Linked DNA regions of Cricetulus griseus. The protein of the gene in region 2 purifies or fractionates together with the protein of the main gene of each other region. This does not show direct contact. Links are inferred from orthologs where the notes say so. Each region holds a gene or a part of one and is shown on either strand. Other genes may lie near its edges. The genes, in order: Eif2s1 and Ppp1r15a.

Region 1 (11,541 bases), on a different chromosome or scaffold from region 2:
ACTTATTAAACAACAACAACTATTACTGTAAAAGATGCTTGCTTAGCTGGCTAATTGGTAAAATTTTAGACAAATGAAATGAGGCTTGTACATATGCAGATGTGGGTATGTTTATGTGGCTACATGTGTGTAAACACATGTATGTTACATGTGAGTCAAGGCTATAGGAGACTCTCAGGAGCTCTTTAGTTTGATTTTTGGGATAGATCTCTGGATGGCCAGCAACTCACTTAGTAAGTTCAGCTGGCTGGTCTTGAATCCTCAGATTTCCCAACATTCCAGGGTTGGATTACCAGCCTGTGCCTCCAAACCTGCCTTTTTTGTTTGGGTTCTGGGATTGAATTCAGCCTCCTCCAGCTTACATATCAAGCACTTAAGTGACTGGCTATCTTCTCAGCTTCCAAAATCATCTTTAACAACTTCATGTACAAAAGAATTTTAGTAGTTTAATGACAGTGCATTTTAAAATATGTACTTTTTTCCCATTCATTTATTTAGCTCATAAATAAAGTCATGCATAATTGTAATACATAATACAGTATGTTCACAATGGCATGGCTAAATTAAACCATAAAATATATACTTTTAAGTAAATTTTTTAAACAGGAAACTTCTGTAGTTTTATAATTTATATTTCTTAGCTATATTTTTTCTCACTTACCTTTTTCTTTGTCCACTCTAATGACAACTACACATTCATTTCTGCCAATGCGGATCAGTTTGTTTATAGAACGGATACGTCTTCTGGATAATTCACTAAGAAGAATCATGCCTTCAATGTTATTGTATTCCAACAAGCTAACATAGGCTCCCATCTCAGCTATGGATCTTACATTCACCATCACTACATCTTCCACCTCAGGGAATTTGTGTTGATAAAATCTACAGCTTAGACCTGGCATTCTGCAATTTAAACAAACAAACAAACAAACAAATACATAAATAGTCAAGTTAGGGCAAAAATTATTTCAAAGACCCTGACAATCACGACAAAGGAAAGTAGACACTAGTCTCCTAATCTCTTTAAATGTCTTAAATGTCAGAAAATGGACAGATACCCAGGAACCAAGGTTTAGTTTTTATTTGCTCCATAGTTTCATAATGCTTAAGCAATCATTTTAGAGGAACAATAAAAAAATAATGACTATCTATAAAGTGATGTGAAACCTGAGGATTAAAGGAATATGTCAAGAGTAAAACACTATTTTAATATTACCACTTAAGTAGGGCATTGTGGTGCACACCTGTAATCCCGAAGTCCCGAGGTTCAGCCAAAAATGACTACAAGTTTGAAGACAGCCTGGGCTATATAGCTAGATGCTATCTCAAAATAAAAGCAAAGCAAAACCACCCCCAAAATATAATAAACCATCACCCAACATTTTAAGAAATATCATGGAATAGGAGGCATCGCTATAACACGGTTTTAACATTCTTAAGCTACTCTGTCTCCAAGTTGGCTCAAATGGCATATGCTACCACACAGCATACCAAGGGAAGACTACTCCTTAACCAATGTGGTAAATGTTATAGCCAATACTTTTTGTGATGCTGCATACTGAGCTGAGTTTCTATTTACACATGAAGCAATTCTTTGCTCTCATGAGCTGCACCTCTAGTCAATTATCACTGCAGCCAAAATTGCAGTATAACAACGGAAGGGGCTACATGGCTCAGTGGCTGAGAGCACTGGGTGCTCCTCCAGCAAATGCAGATTTGGTTTCTAGCACCCACAGGACTGCTCATAACCATCTGCAAGTACAATTTAAGGGAATCTGATGCCCTCTTCTGGCCTCTGCAAGCACATAGTGCAGATATACATACAAGCACAACACCCACAAAATAAAAATGACTTCATTTTCTTGCTTGGCATACACACAAAGAGAGTTCCAGGACAGCCAAAACTACAGAGAAATGCTGTCTCTGGGGAAGGAAAAAAAAAAAAAAAAAGACTTCATATTCATTTATTTCCTTTTAAAAAAAGCAATTTAATTCAGTCATTATAATTTCTAGCTTGTATTATTCTCCAATACTTTGAGACATTAGGGTCTTGCCCATCCTAGGAAAGTACTTCACCACCAAGCTTTACCCCAGTCCTATTTTTATTTTGTTTACAAATATGCCTAGTCTTGTGAGTTGCTTTATAAATCTCCACAGCTCAAGTGTCTTCTAATCCCCATCCTTTAAAGATACCTAAAATTATTCTCTTTGATCCACCCAGTTTCCAGCACCATCTCTTTAGTGACCTATATGCTGAAAAATCACACCACAGTTAGCACTATACTTTAAAAAGGAAGTCCTCAAACTTTAATTGTAGCTGAGGACTTTTATGTTTTCCTATTAATCATAACCTACTTACTGTGTCAGAGCCCAAAAGATAGGTAGTACATAGCACCTAAAAGCCTAAGGAAATAATTGTGAAATTTCAGTAACTTACTTTCTTGTTAACCGGTGTAGGGCCCAGCCATGACAGGGTCAATGGAGTGACTAGCCAAAGAGTAGGCCTGAGTTTCAGTTTACCCTAAAGCAATACCTGGTTCCAGGAAAGACCACAAACTGAGACCACCCAGGCAATATCCAGGAACAGATTATCCAAAAAAACACCTAACATTGGAACCATTATAGATAGGATCACCAGATGTCTTTAACACATCCCCCCTTTCACCAAGACACCATAGACAAATGTAAGCCTGAACCTTAGAAATCCCCTCACCCTCAACTTCTGCTATGATAAAAACCCCACCCCAACTGGACTCTGACCTCACCACTATGTTGGATGGACATAGGGTCCAAGTTCAAGCTTGAATAAAAAGCTCTTTGCTTATACATATGAAATTCAGTCTCCTGATGTGCAGTGAAAGTCAAGATTTGAGCCTATTAAATTTTGAGCAGGTTTATGCTCTTAAAATCTGGACACAGTATTAAGAAATAACCACGCCAGCGTCAGTGGCTCACGCCTTTAATCCCAGCACTCAGGAGGCAGAGGCAGGTGGATCTCTGTGAGTTCTAGGCCAGCCTGGTTTTCAGAGTGAGTGCCAGGATAGGCTCCAAAGCTACAAAGAGAAACCCTGTCTCAAAAAACTAATAATAACTAGAAACATCTAACTTGAACAAAAAGCAATACTGATACACATATTCAGTGTTAGAAAATACATCACAAATTAGGTCTAAGAATTAGGACAGAACCAACAGCACTGTTTAACCAAAAGCAACATGTGGCAGACTCATTTTTCAGCTCAACAAAACAGGGATTTAGTAAACAAAAGAAATTCGACACTCAACTAGATTTACCCATTTGGAAACAGTTGTTTCATTTTTAAACAGAGCTTCTCTTAAGGGTAGGGGTACAAATGTTTTCAAATACCTGTATATGGAGAACTTGACAAGCAGACTTTCAATAAACAAAAGTGGAACAATTTAAGGAGATTTAACAGCTGTTAATTCTAATTAGTCAACAAATTTTCCCAAATAGTAAAGGTGATGTTTTGGCTTAATCTGCTGGTTAAAGAACAAAAGAACAGGGTAAGAGGACACAGAAGGGAGATATAGCTACTACTTTAGCAGGCACAACCTTCGCCCAAGATAAAGAATAAACAAAGGAACACTGCGAATGGTATGTTACTTACAGTAGAAAGTAGCCTGAAACTACAAAGGAATTCTTGTCACATTGGCTGACTAAATCACTTTATGAAATGTTCGTAACTTTAAAAAACAATTTTTAAAGCCCATACTTGTTCTGTCAATGAAACAGAAATCAATAATTTATTCAGTCCTTTTCATATTTTCAAAGTATTCTGACTTTTTCATTTTGCAATTTAACCTGCTAAGACTTTTTTTAGGCAGTCACTACTAAGCACAAAACAATACTAACACAAAAATTCTTCCCTAAGGAATTAAGTACTAGTGGGACAACAAACAAAAGGTGCTATGAAAAACCAGAGAAGGAATAACAGCAAACAGAGAGCAGAAATATTAAATAACTTCAAGGATTCAAGGACAAATACATAAGCACTAAAAATACAGGAATCAAACCCAGGATTTTGTTGTTGTTGTTGTTTTTCTTTTTTTTTCTGAGACAGGGTTTCTCTGTTTAACAGCTCGGGCTGTCCTGGAACTTGATTTGTAGACCAGGCTGGCCTCGAACTCATAATGATCTACCTGCCGCTGCCTCGAGAGTGTTGGCATTAAAGGTGTGCTCCACTACGCTCGGCCAAATCCAAGTCTTTTAACACTAAATCTGACGTGTCTTTTATCCACAAAGCCTCAACATATCACAGTATGAGACTAGGTTAGGCTTTCTCCCCACCCCGTTTTTCACAGGTTTTCACTGTGTAGCTCTGGCTGGCCTCAAGCTCACACAGAGTGCTGGCCTCTGCATCCTGAGTGCTGGGATTAAAGCACATCCCTCAAACTCAAGATCCCACTTCTGCCTTTAAAGTAGTTGGGATTACAGGCACACACAGGCTGTTGTTCTGATGTAAAAAACAAACAACAAAAACACACTAGGTGGTGGTGGCGGTGCAGGCCTTTAGTGCCAGCACTAAGGAGGCAGAGACAGGCGGATCACTTTTGAGTTTGAGGCCAGCTGGTCTTGAACGAGTTCCAGGACAGGTTCCAAAACTATAGAGAAACCCGTCTCGGGGGAAGAAAAACAAAACAAAAACAAACAAAAGTCGGTCATCAGTGGCTCACGCCTTTAATCCCAGCACTCGGGAGGCAGAGGCAGGCGGATCTCTGTGAGTTCCAGATCAGCCTGGTCTCCAGAGGGAGTGCCAGGATAGGCTCCAAAGCTACACAGAGAAACCCTGTCTCGAAAAAAAGCCAAAAAAAAAAAAAAAAAAAAGCCCCTCCCCCCAAAAAGATATTACCGAAATTCGAAGTTAAATTCAAATACTTTACATTATCAGTATTTTGCCCGTTAGCAGTAGGTTTGTCTTCTAGAGCCAGTACAGTGTCAAGTCACCATAGTGGACACAGGAATGAGTACTCCAAAATAAAGTGAACTGTGTTGGGAAAGGACTTGTTCAGCTCTGAAGTTTACCAGTACAACCACACCTCCTGAGAGTCAGCGCCTGTCATCCTGCGTCATAAGCACTGAAAAAAAGGCACTACTATTTCATGTAATGCTGAGAACAGTGGAGTTCCCTGCCTCACAACAGCAACTTAATGAGGAGAAAAATCAAGACTTCGGGGATGCACCCTTTCTTCAAGAAACAATGCCTTTTCTTCCGTAATGAAAATGGAAGCATCCTAAATTTGCCTTAATACCAGGCTTATAGCTTCCATAATTAAAAAAGATGCCAGTTCTCTTCGGGCAGTAGTAAAAACAGGGCCAGTAAGCCCCGATATGGCCTGGTCTTTCAATTCCAGGGATGATTTCACGCTCCCGAAACGCATAACTAGAACGAAAACTTCACAATCTTCAACTTTAATGGTCATATTATGGACTACCTTGAACCTGCTTTAAAAAAAAAAAAACTTAAACATGGTGATCTACCTATCCTACTGGTTCTTTAGCGAAAACCTCAGTGTCCACAGAGTCAGGGGAAAGTTTTGGTGTATCCTGGGGCGGAAAAGGAGGGTGGAAAAAAGTCCAAATTCCCAGGCCCGGTAAAAGCAAAGCGCCCAATCGTCCCGAGCCAGGTAAGGCTGGGGTGTCGCGGCGTCCCCCCGAGGCCTCCCCGCCAGAAGGTCTAAGAATCTAGGGGCCACGTTTCTCCGCGGGTCCCTCCGCCCCAACAACCCACGTTTGTGGTTCGCAGCACTAGACACCCGACCGGCGAGAAGACCCAGGGAAGAACCGGCGGGCGGGGACCACGGGGTCCGGGCACTTCCCGCGCACGGACGGGGACCGGGGCTGATAGCCTGGGGCCTAGCCTCGCTCGACCACTCCTGTCACGGAACACAACGAAAGTGAATTCCCGGGGAGAGCGAGGCGCGGGGCCAGTCACCTGCGGTGTAGGTGTGAATCCCGAACTAGGGTCCCACGCCGCGCTCCTTAATGGCAACGAAGAGACTCGGCACAGCAGCCCCGGACGCCGAACCTCCTCAGCGTGCGCTTCGCTCAGCCCAGCGCGCATGCGGCCCCGCCTCTCACTGCGCAAGCGCCGACAGAAAAGGCCCTTCGTCACCACGACCATAGAGTCGTGGTCCTCCAAATGCGAGCGGTGTGAACCGCAGGGCGGCCTGAAAAATCCGCGTCCTCGGCGCTCGGTAGATTTTGCGGAGAGAACTTGCAGGGCTTAAAGAAGAGGACAGAGCCGGCTTCTTGCTCCAGAATGGTTACGTTTAAATTTTAGTCCACCGACAGACGGCGCTGTAACGAAAGACGGGAAGCCGAGGAAGGGGAGGGGCGTGATCTTCTGATTCGTCACTCGGAGCATGCTGCAACCTGCACCGGCGAGCCGCCGGCGGGAGGGGCTGTGGAGGGACCCGGAATTCCGGGCTGTGCGCGCCTCCACATCCGGGCGTCCCTCGCGTCCAGCCCTCTCCTCCCTCTCAGTCCTCTCGCAGTAGGAACCGGAAGTAGGGACCGGTATTCCGTAGCCTCTTAGCAACGCGAGAGGGTCAAGTGACACCGTCAGCTGACTCCCGTGGTGGAGGACGCTGTGGTAGCCAGTTCTGGCGGTGTTGCAGTCACGATTGCTCGGCTGGGGGCCCGAGCCGAACAGTCACCGTTAGGATGTCGGGCAAAGACCGGATTGAAATCTTCCCGTCGCGAATGTAAGTGAAAGAATAGGACAAGTGGCTCCAGGGTCAGGAACACCTTCCCGGAGCGCATCCCTGCGAGCCCTCGGCCGCCAGCGAGCTTCCCTGCTTTCTGGGCCGCTCAAGAGCTTCCCCCAGGGTCCTTCTGCCCCCTCGTCTGCTCCTCCTGAGGGAACAGACTGGGGAAAGTGTGGTTCCAGTCCAAACGAAAGAGGGTCCGCCTGCTGGGCTTTCCTCATTTTCCCCACACACAGTTTACATAACTGAGTCATCACCATCTTTGCCTCACAGTGCTGAGGGGAGACGGAGAAGCAAAGGTGGTTTTGACCAAAGCTGTCAGACGGAATGGAAGCGTATAGACAGCCCCTAAGCCGAAGTGGCATTGTATGAGTCGACCTAGCACAGCTGTCGGTTTTAATCTTGGATCCCGTCCAATGTCACCTGCCGTGGGAACAGACAGACCCGCGCTCCCGAAGCACCCCTTCAACCTCGTGATAACTGTATTCTTTTCTACCTCTAGCAGTGTCACTCAAGACGTTGTCAATCGGATATTTGTGTGGTGGGATCTTCTCTCCCACCAATCTATGAGCTATCTCCTGGATGAGGGAGGCATCTTTAAATGCATAGGAGGTCCACAGAAATGTTCCTTGAATCCCCGCCTTGGGATCAGCTCAGTTGCAGGCTGCCTTTCTGTTTTGGTCTGACAGCTTTGTCAGGGGAAAATGGCGTTTGTAAAGGAAATTTTGAAGTTTTCCTCAAATATGCATAATAACTTACAGATTGTTCTTATTTGTGTTCTCTTGTTTCTGAAAAAGGAAGTCAGTTTTTACTCTGATCTATAGGTCTTTTCATTGAGCTTCTGTATTGGGGTGGGTGGGGTATGTGTGTGACACTGTAATGTTTTCCTCATCCTTTTTCTTTCCTCCTCACAGACTCCGAAGACTCTTTAGTTATATTTAAACCTTAGACTGAATTTCTGTCTCTGCCAGGGCATGTGTAGTTCTGAATGAGTGAAAGACTTTTAATTATTATTATTATTTTGGTTTTTTTTTTTTTTGAGACAGGGTTTCTCTGTATTGCTTTGCAGGTTATCCTGGAACTCGCTCTGTAGACAAGGCTTTCCTCAAACTCACAGAGATCTGCTTGCCTCTGCCTCCCAAGTGCTGTGATTAAAGGCATGCACCACTAACGCCTGGCTTTAATAATTTTTTTAAAAACCCTTTTAGCCTTCACCTCACTGACTTTGAAATGGCAGATTGTACTAACTGTACAAATGGGCTAGTTGTGGAGAAATGCAAGGCCTGTGAAACAGATAAAGATCCAGACTTCCCTAGGGGGTGATTTCCAAACTCAACATGTAATGTAAGCTTTACTGAGACACCAACATGGCTTCTAGAAACCAGTGGCAGAGTTCTTGCCTAGCACACACAAGGCCCTGGGTTGAATCCTCCAACTCCTCAAAAGTAAAATTAACCATTGCTGCCTGAGGCAAACAAAACTCAAAGCTGACACAAGTAAATACTTGTGTCAGCTAACACCTGATCCTAGACCTCTCTTCCACAGAACATATATTAATGGGTATATCCAATTGGATATATATTTTGTATAAATCATGTGTCAGGGACCTAAGAGAACCCTTCTTTGAAAGGCAATGGACCAGAAGGATGATGTCTCTGTGTCTCTGTGGGAGACTAGAATCCTAATTTGTCTGTCATCAAGCAGATGCAGCTGACCCAGTCAGGGGTAGACTCACCAATCTTAGTGATTTTCATTTTTCATCTTCTTTAAAACACCCAGGCATATCTTCATGTACCAGAATGGAGCTCACTTTTTTTTGTTTTTTTGTTTTTTTTGCCTTGCTGTCAGTGGTCTCACTCTTTCAAATAATGTCTGGCCATATTTAATCACTATTCATAATGCTGATGCGTTTTTATTATCACTTTGGAACTTTTAATTTAGGACTAGGAGCTTCTTTGGGCTTAGGCAAGAAAAAGGATAGTTGTGTGAGGGTGAAAACTGTTATTTGAGAACATTCAGCTGGTCTAGAGGAAGTCGGGTGTAGGAAGTAAATATTTTTTCCACAGCTTGACAGCAGGTTATTTGTCATACAGTGAGATGTGTTTGATTCAGCAGGAGACAAAGTCACTATTTTAGCTGAAGGTCATACTTCTTGTTTCTTTGTTCTTTTCTTCTAAGGCTGAGCAGCTCTGTAACAGAAAGGAACAGGCTTAACAGCTCTAGGCTAGATCACACAGTACTGATTGTGACTCTATTTGCATACATTTGGTGCTGTTGTCTGTGGAATGTTGCTTTCATTCAGGTATCACTAGAGAAAATGAAACAAATTTAGGTGGAAACAAAGGAGGCCCAAAAGGCCTAGGGATGTGGCTCAGATGGTAGAGCACTTGGCCAAAATGCACAATGTCCTGGCTTTCAGCCACTAGTACCACATAAAACTGGGCATGGTGGCTTATGCTTTAAGGCCAACATTCAAGAAGCAGAGTCACGGTCATGAATTCAAAACCAGCCTGGGATAAATGAGACCCTGTCTCAAGCTGGGGGAAAAAAAAAGGCACAAAAACTTAGAGTTAATAAAAGTCAGGTAAAGTCTAGGTTCTTGTAAATGTTCGGACAAGTCACCCTTTTTTCCCTCTTCTTCCCTTTCTTTTTCTTTTTCTTTTTCTTTATTTTTTTTGTGGGATAGCCTTATGTATCCTAGGCTGGCCTCTAACTCACTATGTATATATCCCAGGCTGACCTTCAACTTCTAGTCTTCTTGCCTCTACCCCTCAAGTGCTGGGATTACAGGCATTCACTACTTCATATTCAGCTCATTTGCTCTTGAAGCTCAGTAACTGAAAACTTCCTATTCACAGAAGTACAGACATCTAGAGTGAACTCAAGTTTTAGTTTATTAGTCAGTTCATCTATGAGCTCCAAATTTGTAGGTATCTGTAGTGCTACAATCAACCTAAATCGTGTCCAACTTTCTCTCCCCCCTCCGTGTGTGTGTGTGTGTGTGTGGGGGGGGGTGGGGGGTGTGGGTGTGGGGGTTTGGGTGTGGGTGTGTGGAGGTCAGAACAGGATGTCTTATGTCTTCTATTGCTTTCCCCACTTTGTGTTGAGACAGTCTCCCTGGAAAGCTTGTGGTTTGGACTAGACTGGCTAATCAGGGAGCTCTTCGGATCTGTCTGTCTCTGCTGGGGTTACAGGCACATGCAGACTTGCCCGGCTGTCTACCTGGGCACTGGTTCCTTATGCTTGAAGAGCACGTGCTCTTACACACTGACTCATCTTCCCAGTCAGTCCTTCACCCCATCTTGAATCTCAATTCTGGTATTTAGTGTCAACAGTGCAGAATGTTCAGTGTACACATTGGTGTGGATGGCTCTTGTTCAGGCTGGAAACTGAAGCAGCTTCATTGGATTAGGCCTCTGGTGAGACCAGTCTCTGCAACCACCCACTGCTAACTACCTTTCAGATGGAGAACTGTTCTGGTGCTGCAATTTAGCATCTTTCAGGGGAGCCAGTGTGGAATGGGGGGTCTGGTAAACTGAGGTTGGAGCCTTCTTTTGAGTCTTGGGCAGGTTCTGGAATCAAATCTGGTTCAGATTCCTGCCTGCCTGTTCTTCAGTGAGTAACTGTGGGGAAATTGCTCTACTTTTCTGAGTCCCACTTTCCTAAAGTTAAAGTCGAAGTTTTTTTTTTTTTTTTTTTCCATTTGTAGAATTAATTACCAGTTACTTTAACCTCTTAGTGAAAGTTTTTAGTAATCAGAGGATTTGCCCACAGATTCATTGATACATGCATGCTATTTTGCCTAGTGTTTGGGCTGAGCAATCTGTTGAGACATTACCCAAACACCTTTTCACTATTAAATTTTATCTGTCATGTGACAACTAAAACAGCAGTATCATTTTAGGCTGCTACTTTTACTTCGGGGTTAGAACGTCTGGTGAGGAAAAAAATGCACTAAGTTTAGGAGGCTTCACTCCAAGGTTAGCTTGCCACTTACAGGTCGTATATTTGCATTTGTTACTGGACACATTTAAAAAGTTAATAATCAGCTGATAACAGGGCCTTGGTTTATAACAGGGAAGCACTTTAACACCATGCCAGTAATAGAAATATAATGCATCATTGTGGATAAGGTGTAGAATGTACCATAAAATACAGTAGTAGAAAAGTAAGATCATGAGGTTTTTCTCGAAACCTCATTTCTCAAAGAAAGCCATTTCTGGTCTCTTGTAGGTAGGTCTGTTATTTTCACTTGAACAAAAACATTCGTTTCTTTGTTCTTGTAAGACAGCACATAAATCTGCTGTGGAGGTATTTTTGTGTCTTTTAAATGTTAACAATAAATGCGTTTTCTTTGTTTTTGTAGGGCACAGACCATCATGAAAGCTCGGTTAAAAGGAGCACAGACTGGTCGAAACCTCCTGAAGAAAAAATCTGATGCCTTAACTCTTCGATTTCGACAGATCCTGAAGAAAATAATAGAGGTAGGATAAACTTTGCTTAGAACAGGATATCTATTTACGTCTAGGGAAAATCAAGCATGGCCTTTGGCACTTAAAGTTTTTCTCCCTCCACTCCCTCCCCCCCCCTCTCGGATTGGGCATAATGCCTTATGTATGCTAAATACCCATCTTACCATTTGAGGTAAATATCTACCTCCTGTTCTTTCTTTACATTGTTTAAATCAAGTTTTCGCCTATCAGAAATAATAACCCTTTATAATAGGCATAGTAATAGAGAACTGCTGGCATGCGTCCACACAGGGATTTAAGTTGCAAAGAGTTCATTATAACATCTAACTCTGTCACATGTCTA
Region 2 (11,398 bases):
TCTAGAGGTAGAGGCAGAGTTAGAAATTCAAGGTTGTGGCAGGAGGATCTCTGTGAGTTCGAGGCCAGCCTGGTCTACAGAGCAAGTGTCAGGATAGGCTCCGAAGCTACACAGAGAAATCCTGTCTCGAAAAACAAGACAAAACAAAAAAATTCAAGGTTGTGGGGTAATGGCATACATCTTTAAACTCAGGCACATTTCTGAGTTTGAGGTCAGCCTGGTCTATGGAGCAAGCTCCAGGACAGCTAGGGCTAGGTAGTGAGATCCTGTCTTGATGGCAACAAGTTTTAGGTCATTTTTTGGCTACATAGGGAGGTCAAGTTCAGGTTGAGATTTATGAGGCCTTGTACAGGCGCCCTGGCAAGAACACTCTTGTCTGCCACAGCCGGGGATGCCAAAGAACCTCTGCAATCCACACCAGGAGCATGTGCCATGCCGGGAGTCCCCCGCAGAGGCAGCTTCCAAATAGATGCCCTGGGAATGAAAGGACAGAAGGGTACCCTCAGCAAGAAAGTTCAGGGTGGAGATGTGGCTTCTGGTCCTTCACTTCCCTGAGAGGGTATCTGCCCACACACAGACTGCAGACCCCCAAGCCCAAGCTGCCTTGGATCACCTTTTTGGAAGTAGGCTGACCAAGGCTGGAACCAAATCTCTGGGTCTCTGAGTTTAAGGGAGTAAGGTGAATTTTGTCCTAGTGATGTTGATGCAGCCCAGGCTATCCTTAAATCACTATGTAACCAAGGTTGACCTTGAATTTCTGATCCTCCTGCCTCTACTTCTTGAATGTTGGAATTTGAGGTATGTGCTGCCACACCTGGCTCTGGTTTGGGATTTTATTTCCTTGCATGTTGTTTTGCCTAATCTATGTTCCTGCCTCCACCTCCCCAATACTGGATTACAGTTGTGAACCACCCCACCCTGTTGTTAGTGGGTGGGTCGAGGTTTATAGACTGCAGAGTGAGTTCCCTAGTCCAGTCAAGGGTAGACACCTCCTCTCAGTCTAGGTTTGTTTGTTCTTCTGGCTTAAAGTTAGGAAGACTGAGAGGGGTGGGGACAGAGCTGGGGATGTCTCCAAAATTCCCAGCTGCAGCTGGAACCAGTCTGGCAGACCCAATCACTAAGGGTCCGTGTGATGGAACAGCTAGGAAATGGGACTGAACTGCCCTTCGCCCCCTTCCTCCCTATCCCACTGGGAAGTGTGGAAGGACCTTGGTGCTCCGGCTGCTCACAGAAGATGTGGTAGAAGCGCTGCTGGCCAGGCTCAGGCTGCTCCGGGGGCGGCCCTGCTCCATGGAGAACTTTGGGAGAAAGAGAAAGGGGCTGTGTCTCTCCGCTGATGGGGGCTGAGGACAGATCTGGGGTCAGGGCTCAGGTCGGAGAATGCTGAGGAGAAAGAAACTGTTGTTTGGGAACTGAGGGACTGGGGGAGGCCATGGTCAGGGATCGCATACCAATAGTAGTGCCAAGAGAGGTGGGTGGCTCTGGCAGCTGTGGGGAGGGGGCAGCTGTTTGCAGCAAGGCCATAAGAATAGGGGCTCCTTTATTCCAGCCTGCTGAACTCTGGCTAGGAATGTGACCCCCTGTGTGCACAGGGATTTTACTCCTTGCCTCCTTCAGGGTGCCCTGGGCTACCTGTTCCTTTCTTCTCTCATGAACCCCCAAACCATCTTTGTCAGCTCCCCAAGACAATTCCTAAGACACCAGGAATGAGCATCCAGGCAAGTCCCTCCCAGCCCAGCCAGGGACTTACCCAGCTCTGGTGTCCCAGTGACAGGTCTGCCACCTTTTTACGTCTCAGATACTGCCTCTCAGGGCTGCCTCTTCTCACCTGATGTATGACTGCTTCAGCTCTGTCTTGTTTATGAGTTCTTGCTCACTCACGCTCCTCTCTGTCTCTGTCTCTGTCTCTGTCTCTCTCTCTGTGTCTCTCTCCTTGTCTGCCTATATCAACCGTTTCCAGTCCCTCCTCTTACCTTACTGCTCCTGTCTAACTCTCCCCTCCCTCCCGTCTCTATCACCCCCTCAGTCCCTCTCTCCACACTCAGTCTCTTTCGCCCCCACCAAACACATCTGTTTCCTTTCTTCTCTTTCAACTTCTCTTCCTCACTTTCTCTCTTCCTCTCCTGGTTTCTCTTTCCTCTCTGCTGGGCTTTCCCTCTCTCTGGCAGCCGCCCACGCTGCTGCCTCCCCTCCCAATCATGGCTATCCCCGCCTCTTCTGGCCTCCCCACTATACAGCCTGACCCCTGGCTCAGCTGCCCCCACAGCTAAGGAGAGGGATTGGGATTCTTCAACTCTTGGCTATCCTAAGCTGTGTCTGGGACTCCTCAACATTTGGAGCAGAGACTTGAACCCCAGGACACCATGGGTTTGTTGTTACTTGGGGTGCTGAGCTATGGTTCCTTCAAGAGAGGTGTCCTGGGTCATTTGAAGAATGGAGTCTCCTATTCCTGAAACCTTGGAAAACTGGGATACAGCCTGGCTGGTGGGTGCCTGTGAAGGTATGAGCTATAAGTCCGACCTCAAGGACTGTACACCCATGTCCAGAAGGCCTTGACTAAATGAGGCAGTGATCGTTAGCTCCTATACTGGAAGGAGGGGACCATAGTCCCAGAGTACTGGCCTCTGGCAAGGACAGGGTTAAGTGGCCAGTTGGAAATTTCTCCCTCAGATCAGACTGATAACCCATTAAAAGGGAGGTGTGGTGACTTCATACATTCTGAGGAATATGGCTGGGCTGTAGATCAGAGCTTGAAGTGTAGCTCCAAGGGAGCACTGTCCAGTATGTGGGAGGCCCTGGGATCCACCCCCAGAAACACCACACACACACACCCCCACACACACACGTATACCACACACACATCGCATACACCACACCAGGCAGGGAGAGCAGTGGAGATTGGAACTGGGTCTCTGGATTTTTACATCTACATCTGTGATTTAAGCAGAGCCCCACCCCTACCAGAGTACAGTCCAATCAAAATTTCAAATTGCACAAACAACTTTTATATAATTTTGAAGCAGTGAAGAAGGCAGATGCCTGCCTATGAAAGTAACAAGTCTGTTTAGCAGCGTTCTTCATACAGTATTTATTGAGGTCACACTTGTAACCTCTCTACCGGGGAAGCTGAGGTAGACCTACTGAGAGTTCCAGGATAGCCTGGGTTGCATAGTCAGTTCCAGGCAACCCTGGAATACAAAATGGGTCCCTGTCAAAAGACAAATAAAACAAAGGAAATAGAAATAAATCTTTTTTAAAAAGAAGTCTCCACTGAAGACAGGCATTGGGCTGGGGTCACTGCTTCTCTATACACAGTAGGAAGATTGCCCAAAAATCAAGGTTGGCCCGAGTAAGTTCCAGGACAGTGTAGACTAAACTGTGAAACCCTGTCTTAGACAGACAGAGACAGACAGACCCACACACACAAAACAACCAAAGGACTAGAAAGATGGCTCAGGGCTTGAGAGCACTTGCTGCTCTTGCAGAGGACCGGAATTCAGTTTCCAGAACCCACAAGGAAGTTCACAATCATCTCTAACTGCAGCTCTACAAGATCAGAAGCTATCTTCTGGCCTGCTCGTGCATCACATTCGGAGGTCCACATATACACACACACATATACATGCATATATTTTTTATGAAGGGAAAACACTCATACACAAAATAAGGGAAAATATTTTTTTTGAGACTATGTCTCACTATGTAGCTCTGGTTGTCCCAGAACTCACTATGTAGATCAGGAGAGGCTCCAAATCAGATCTGCCTGCTTCTCCCTCTGAGTGCAGAGATTAAAGGCATATGCCATCATGGCTCACGAGACAAAAAAATTTTGCCTGGCGGTAGTGGTGCACGCTTTTGATGCCAGCACTCGGGAGGCAGAGGCAGGCAGATCTCTGTCAGTTCGAGACCAGCCTGGTCTACAAGAGCTAGTTCCAGGACAGCCTCCAAAGCCACAGGGAAACCCTGTCTCAAAAAAACAAAAGCAAAAAGAAAGATAAAAATTTTTTTTCTCATGTAGACTTGGACAGTCTGGAGCTAGCTATGTAGTCCAGGCTGGCCTCGAACCCACAGTAATCCTTTCTCTGCCTCTTTAGTTCTGGGATTAAAGGCGCGCACCTCCGCTGCTGGCATTTTAAAGTTTTTTAATAATAAATAAAGCTGGGTGGTGGTGCACGCCCTTAATCCCGGCACTCTGGAGACAGCAACTGGAGGATCACTGATTTCGAGGTCAGTCCTTGTCTTTCAAAAAACAAATAAAAGAAATAGAAACAGAAATTAATTGGGCTGGTAAGATGTGTGCCAGCACTCAGGAGGCAGAGGCAGGCGGATCTCTGTGAGTTCGAGGCCAGCCTGGTCTCCAGGACAGGCTCCAAAGCTACACAGAGAAACCCTGTCTCGAAAAACAAAAAACAAGAAAAAAAAAAAAAAAAGATGTGTGCCTGGCTGAGGAAGTGCAGACGCTTGCTCAGAAGTGATTCGAGATTGACAGCTCGCAAGGTTTGGGCCGAGGACACGCCTGGAAAAGTCGCAATGACGTCACAAAGCCCGGAATTTCCGCGAGAAGTTCGGTGTTGTTTCCCTGTCCCACCTTTCCCGGAGCTTCCGAAGCCCCGCCTCTCCGGTGACGTCAGCAGGTCTCGCCAGGCTATAAAAGCAGTGTTGCGGCTTCCGGCGCAGATTGAGCCAGTCCTCAAGCTGTGGAAGATTGCATGCGACACCCCGCGCGCCCCCCGCATCCCTTCGTCGGGACGCTCCCTGCGGCCGTCTGTGAGACCTCACGTCCCCGAGCCCCACGCCTGAGGGCGACATGAACGCTCTGGCCTTGCGAGACCTCCGGACCCGAGACCGCTTCTGGCCACACGAACCGGCGCTCCTGCCCCCGGGGTGAAGCGCAGCCCGCCGGTGCGTGGGGAATGGGGGAGGCTGCGGAAAGTCCCCGGGTCGGAGAAAGATGCTTCCTTTGATCTGAGAGAAGGCAACCCAGGCCTAGATGGGCCCTTGGGTCTAAGGAAGGCAGAATTTAGACTGTCCACGTAAAGGGAAGGGGGCCTGGATGCTAGAACCGCAGGACCTGTATAGAGCTGGGTAAAGGGAAGGACTCCCGGAGGAGTGGCCTGGGGCCAAGAGGTGGGCAGAGGAGGTTTTAAGGGCGTGAACATATATGCCTGAGGGGAGAAGGGTCCTTAGAAGCCGGATCACAAGTCTGAAGAGGGCTAGGCAGGAGTCTTTGACAGGGCTGAAGAAAGGGGCTTGTAGGAACGAGGCCCCAAACTGTAGGGTGTAAGAGAGCAGCAGCAGGTGGTGGAGGTGGTGTGAGCAGGGCTATTAGGAATTTGAGGCATGTTAGTACTGTGACTATTTATATTTCCGTGACTCAGAGCTGTGGTATGATATTTCCAGAATGGCTTCTAAACAATTCCCCCTTTTATAGCCCAGACACATGGCCCCAAGCCCAAGACCCCAGCATATCCTGCTCTGGAGGGATGCCCACTCCTTCCACCTCCTGTCTCCACTGATGGGCTTCCTCAGTCGGGCTTGGAGCCGCCTGAGGGTCCCGGAAGCCCCAGAGCCCTGGCCGGCAGAAACAGTAACTGGAGCAGATCAGATAGAAGCTGATGCTCATCCGGCACCTCCCCTTGTTCCTGAGAACCACCCCCCTCAGGGGGAGGCTGAAGAAAGTGGAACTCCTGAAGAGGGTAAAGCAGCCCAGGGACCCTGCCTGGATGTGCAAGCCAACAGTTCCCCTCCTGAAACTTTGGGACTTTCAGATGATGATAAGCAAGGACAGGATGGCCCCAGAGAGCAGGGAAGGGCACACACAGCTGGCCTGCCTATACTGCTGTCTCCTGGTCTGCAAAGTGCTGATAAGAGCCTTGGAGAGGTGGTGGCTGGAGAAGAGGGAGTGACTGAGCTGGCTTACCCCACATCACACTGGGAGGGTTGTCCATCTGAGGAGGAAGAGGATGGAGAAACTGTGAAAAAGGCTTTCCGAGCCTCTGCTGACTCTCCAGGGCACAAGTCCAGCACTTCTGTGTATTGCCCAGGGGAGGCAGAACATCAAGCCACGGAGGAAAAACAAACAGAAAATAAAGCTGACCCCCCCAGCTCTCCTTCAGGCTCCCACTCCAGAGCCTGGGAGTACTGCTCTAAGCAGGAGGGAGAAGCCGACCCAGAGCCACACAGGGCAGGGAAGTATCAACTGTGTCAGAATGCAGAAGCTGAAGAGGAGGAAGAAGCCAAGGTTTCATCTTTGTCTGTGTCTAGTGGGAATGCCTTCCTGAAGGCCTGGGTGTATCGACCTGGAGAGGACACCGAGGACGACGATGATAGTGACTGGGGATCAGCTGAGGAAGAGGGTAAGGCCTTGTCTTCCCCTACCTCTCCTGAACATGACTTCCTGAAGGCCTGGGTATATCGACCTGGAGAGGACACCGAGGATGACGATGATAGTGACTGGGGATCAGCTGAGGAAGAGGGTAAGGCCTTGTCTTCCCCTACCTCTCCTGAACATGACTTCCTGAAGGCCTGGGTATATCGACCTGGAGAGGACACAGAGGATGACCAAGACAGTGACTGGGGATCAGCTGAGAAAGACGGTCTAGCTCAGACCTTTGCCACCCCCCATACAAGTGCCTTTCTCAAGACCTGGGTCTGTTGCCCTGGAGAGGACACAGAAGATGACGACTGTGAGGTTGTGGTCCCAGAAGATTCAGAAGCAGCTGACCCAGACAAGAGTCCCAGCCATGAGGCTCAGGGTTGTCTGCCTGGAGAGCAGACAGAGGGACTTGTGGAAGCAGAGCACTCTCTCTTCCAGGTGGCCTTCTATTTACCTGGAGAGAAGCCAGCACCACCTTGGACTGCCCCTAAACTGCCCCTTCGGCTGCAAAGGAGGCTTACGTTGTTGAGAACCCCCACCCAGGATCAGGACCCTGAGACTCCTTTACGGGCCAGAAAGGTGAGTGGGTGCTAGGAGCCTAATGGAGTCTTTCCTGTGGTAGCTTAGGGATGTACAGTCCTAGTACTGGATTTGCAATTGGATTTCACACTGCTTTTTTCTTTCTTTTTTTTTTTTTTAATATATAATTTGTACAAAAGGTCCAGATTCTGAGTCAGGAGGCAGGGCCTGGGACCTGAAAATCCCTTATGGTGGAGACCTCAGGGACCCATGTGTTGCAACTTCTTACATGGGAAGGCTGTGTTCACCCTGTTGCAATCGCCTGTAAGAGGCAGGAAGAGTGATAATTGTGGCTCATGGCAGCACAGACATGTCAGTGAGTCAGAGGGACAGTCAGGATGGCAGGCAGGTGACTATTCCAAATAACAAGTGTTTTCTTGTGACTAATTTTTACTTCTTGCCTCTGCCCATCTGTCCAGGTGCATTTCTCTGAGAATGTCACAGTCCATTTCCTTGCTGTCTGGGCAGGACCAGCCCAGGCTGCCCGACGTGGTCCCTGGGAGCAGCTTGCACGAGATAGGAGCCGTTTTGCTCGAAGAATTGCCCAGGCGGAGGAGAAGCTGGGTCCTTACCTCACCCCTGCCTTCCGAGCCAGAGCATGGGCACGCCTTGGAAACCCATCGCTTCCTCTAGCTCTTGAGCCCATCTGTGACCACACCTTCTTCCCTTCCCAGTGAAGCCCCTCCTTCCAGCCTGGACTGCGGTGGGAGGCGTGGCTAAACCCAAGACGTTTCCTGTTATTTATTTTAATAAGAAATAAAGCCTTTTGATTTATACAATTCTTATGTGTGTACTCATAGTATCCTGCTGGTGTATCTTCAAGGGAGGCTAGAAATGAGTTCTGAGACCAGCCTGATCTACATAGTGACTATCTCAGACAGGTGTAAAGTGACAACTAATCCCAGCACTTTGAAGCTGAGGCAGGATTGGCTTGAGCTAAGGCAGACATAACCTATGGAGAGTGGTAGATACAAGCAAGGTATAACGACGTGTATGAAAATGTAATGAAGCCCATTATTTTGTACACTAACTAAAAAAATTTCAAGGTTTATTAAAAGACAGGCCAGGCACAGAGGTGCATGCTTGTCATCCCAGTACTCCGGAGGCGGAAGCAGGAGGATGGGGTGTTCAAGGCCAGCCTCAGCTACCTTGTTGGAGGCCAGACTGAGTATCAAAAAACTAAAAAAAAAAAGGGGGGGGGCATAGTGTGAAGCTTTCTCCAAATGCACAGGACAGAGCTGGTGAGGGATGGTATTTTATTCAGTTACTCACACGCCAGTTTCCCATCGAAACTGGATAAGCAGATGGCGAAGGCTTGGAGCGGGCAAAGAGGATATCGGAAATCCATAGTGAATATGTTTGGGGCCACGCGGCCGAACTGGAGAACCAGGTGGTCCGCTGATGAGCAAAACAGGAAATAGGACTTAAACTCCTGCCTCCCACCCGCGCCACCTTTACCAAGCTGGGAAATGCTAGGAGCCTTATGGACTACATCTCCCAATAGGCCTTGCGACAGCGAGGCTCTCGCCCCGCTTAGGAAACCGCCCAAGGGGTGGTTCTTGAGTGGCCGCTTTCTTCCCGCAAGCCCAGGTCTTCCGGTTGCTAGGAGCTCACGTTCATCCGGGTGAACAATCTGGAAGTTCTTGACCGAAGCCCGAGTGACGCGACCGTGAAAATTGAGCACGTAGGCGCCACTCTCGTCGCTCCAAGATGGGGCCTTGTTCTGCAGTAAGAGCAGCCCGTGTCTAGCACCCTTTTGTAGGCGACTCAATATCGAATCCTGATCCTTGAAGATACAATAGGGGCATCGTTTGTTAGCCCACCCGCAACCTGCTTTTTAGTTCAGATGCACAGGTTTTATTTATTATTTATGTATTTGTTTATTTGAGAGAGTGTCTCTAGAGCCCCATGTTTCTTTTTGTGTGTGTATTTTTAGAGACAGGGTTTCTCTGTAGCCCTGGCTGTACTGCAACTAGCTCTGTAGAGCAGACTGGGACTGTAATTTTTTTTTTTTCTTTTTCTTTTTTATTTTTGAGACAGGGTTTCTCTTTGTAACAGTCTGGCTATCCTGGAACTCACTTTTTTGACCAGGCTGGCCTCGAACTCACAGAGATCCTCCTGCCTCTGCCTCCCGAGTGTTGGGATTAAAGGCATGCGCCACCAATGCCAGGAGAGTTTTGGAATTTCTTATCTCCCTTCCTGTGATGAATTCCATATTTCCAGAGGTAAATTTTAAATATGCATTTATGCAAAAATTATTTATAATGTGCAGATTTATAACCACACACAAGTCATTATGTATAATCTATTGTACATTTGTTGTTAGTCACGGTTTAAAGTACCCAAGCTTAAACTGGGTGGTGGTGGCGCACGCCTTTAATCCCAGCACTCGGGAGGCAGAGGCAGGCGGATCTCTATGAGTTCCAGGCCAACCTGGTCTCCAGAGCCAGTTGCAGGATAGCTAGGAAAGTCTCAAAAAAGGAAAATTAACAAATTAACTTCGGTTAAATATATGTGTGTCTGCATATGTGTACTGTGTGCATGTGAGTGCAGGTGTCTTCACAGTCCAGAAGAGGACATCAGGTCCCCTGTAAGCCACAAGGGTACTGGGAACCAACTCCAGAAATTGTTTTTTCTTTTGAGACAGGGTTTCTCTGTGTAGACCCAGCTGTCTTGGAACTGTCTCTGTAGACCAGGCTGGCTTCAAACTCAGAGATGTGCCTGCCTCTACCTCCCTCCTGTTGGGATTAAGGCATGAGCCACCAATGCCAAGCCAAAAACTTTTTTTTTTTTTTAAAATACATGGTCTCACCATGTAGCCCTGGCTGTCCTGGAACTTGAGATGAGGCTGCCTCCAACTCACAAGGTCTGCTTTTCCTGTCCCTCTAGGTGAGCAATGCATGCTCTGGTAATCACTGAGCCATCTCTTCAGCCTTAGGCCCTGAAGTTTTGAGTCTCTGGTTTTACTTTTTAAGACAAGACTCTGGCAAAGTTATTCAAGTTTCACATGTGACCTGCAAACCATTGCCCCACCTCAGGATCTGTGATGGCTCACCCTGACCATTCTGCTCTCTGCACTGTGACTCCCAACCTTAAAGACTCACATTTTGTGGCTGCACCCTCATCCTCTGCTTCCGGCTGTCCATTCCTGGAAGGATCACAGTCATTTTCCGAGGTCCCCGGAACCCCAAGACATTGGTTTCCTGGGAAAATTAATTAGATTATATTCCAGCTGGCCTGGCTCCTTATGCTTTCTTACCTATTGGCACCCCCATTCATTTCTGCCCCTGCCAGGATACTTACATAACATACAACTCCCAGCTCCTCTCTGATCCGGGCACTGTCTGGGATCCAGTAGTTCCGCTCAGGGTTCACCCCATTATCAAAGATGGTGAATTTCGTGCCCAAGACGTTAGATCTGCCCCAGGAGGGCAGTGAACAAGGTAAAATGGCCATAATGGTGATTTTTACTCTGTTAAGTGCTTTCTCAAACCCATCCTCTAAGGAAAAAAAATCACAGTCCCAGCCCTCTGTTTCTTTGGTATCATTCTAGCATCCTACATTGACTCTTTGGGAATCCTCTTCCCTCTAGCAAGTAAGAACTCCCACACTCTAGACCTCTTTCCCCACAGGCACTGAGGGTTCCCAGCCCTCTGCCTAGCAAAAAGCTAAGCATCCTAAATGCCAGCCTGTGTTCATGGCATCCAAAGCTTTCGTTGTTTTGGATGTTTTGTTTTGTACTTCCACGGCTGGGAAGTACAACCTGCAGAACTACAAAAGCCATCAGGCTTTAGTGCAGGTCTTGTGCTGTGCATGGCAGCATATTGGGAAATGTAGTTCATGTGCCTATCTTTCTCCGGGCTTCCGAGGAGCACCACATAACAAGAAGGCTTAGCCTACCTAACTTTGCCTACAAAGTTGTTCCCATTTCGAGACATGTCTTTGGGGTCCAGGGAGATGAGATAATTTGAGGTTTTGCTTCTTTTCCTTTTCCGCCCAGCCAGAAGGAAATGCTGCAGACCAGAGAAGAGACGTCAGGATTGATTTCTGATACCTGTCTAGAGCCAGGGTCCTGACACAGCTCTGAATATGGGAAAGGCTGTTTCTGGAAAAGATAGAGGCCACACACTGGGAGAAGACTGGGCATATGGAGAGGAGTGTGGCTTAGCTATAGAATGGAAATGCTTTTTTTTGTTGTTGTTTTTTTTTTTGTTTTTTTTTTGTTTTTCGAGACAGGGTTTCTCTGTGGCTTTGGAGGCTGTCCTGGAGCTATCTCTTGTAGACCAGGCTGGTCTCGAACTCAGAGATCCGCCTGCCTCTGCCTCCCGAGTGCTGGGATTAAAGCATGTGCAACCACTGCCTGGCTTTAGAATGGAAATGCTTTGAAGGGCCTACCTAGTTTATACTAGGATTGGGTGGGGTTTGACCACCAAGAAGACTAAG

The links.
Region 1: the proteins of Ppp1r15a (region 2) and Eif2s1 purify together in Homo sapiens (affinity purification with western blotting; 4 studies listed by BioGRID and IntAct, with this or other methods). This does not show direct contact. The link is inferred for Cricetulus griseus from reciprocal best matches to the Homo sapiens genes PPP1R15A and EIF2S1.

What each region holds. Positions count from the first base shown.
Region 1 is NC_048598.1:124,776,222-124,787,762, forward strand, and holds the start of Eif2s1 (eukaryotic translation initiation factor 2 subunit 1), read right to left. Parts: upstream 6,111-11,541; 5' UTR 5,952-6,110; intron 3,496-5,951; exon of another isoform or gene 3,365-3,495; intron 904-3,364; 5' UTR 903-903; coding exon 662-902; intron 1-661. Other genes in the region: Atp6v1d (V-type proton ATPase subunit D), read left to right, coding at 6,683-6,723, 11,093-11,210. UniProt on the Homo sapiens protein: Member of the eIF2 complex that functions in the early steps of protein synthesis by forming a ternary complex with GTP and initiator tRNA. This complex binds to a 40S ribosomal subunit, followed by mRNA binding to form a 43S pre-initiation complex (43S PIC).
Region 2 is NC_048599.1:154,421,789-154,433,186, reverse strand, and holds Ppp1r15a (protein phosphatase 1 regulatory subunit 15A), read left to right. Parts: upstream 1-4,681; 5' UTR 4,682-4,902; intron 4,903-5,431; 5' UTR 5,432-5,440; coding exon 5,441-6,955; intron 6,956-7,374; coding exon 7,375-7,632; 3' UTR 7,633-7,736; downstream 7,737-11,398. Other genes in the region: Plekha4 (pleckstrin homology domain-containing family A member 4), read right to left, coding at 1,209-1,292; Tulp2 (tubby-related protein 2), read right to left, coding at 8,220-8,353, 8,570-8,741, 10,060-10,158, 10,259-10,373, 10,856-10,968. UniProt on the Homo sapiens protein: Recruits the serine/threonine-protein phosphatase PPP1CA to prevents excessive phosphorylation of the translation initiation factor eIF-2A/EIF2S1, thereby reversing the shut-off of protein synthesis initiated by stress-inducible kinases and facilitating recovery of cells from stress.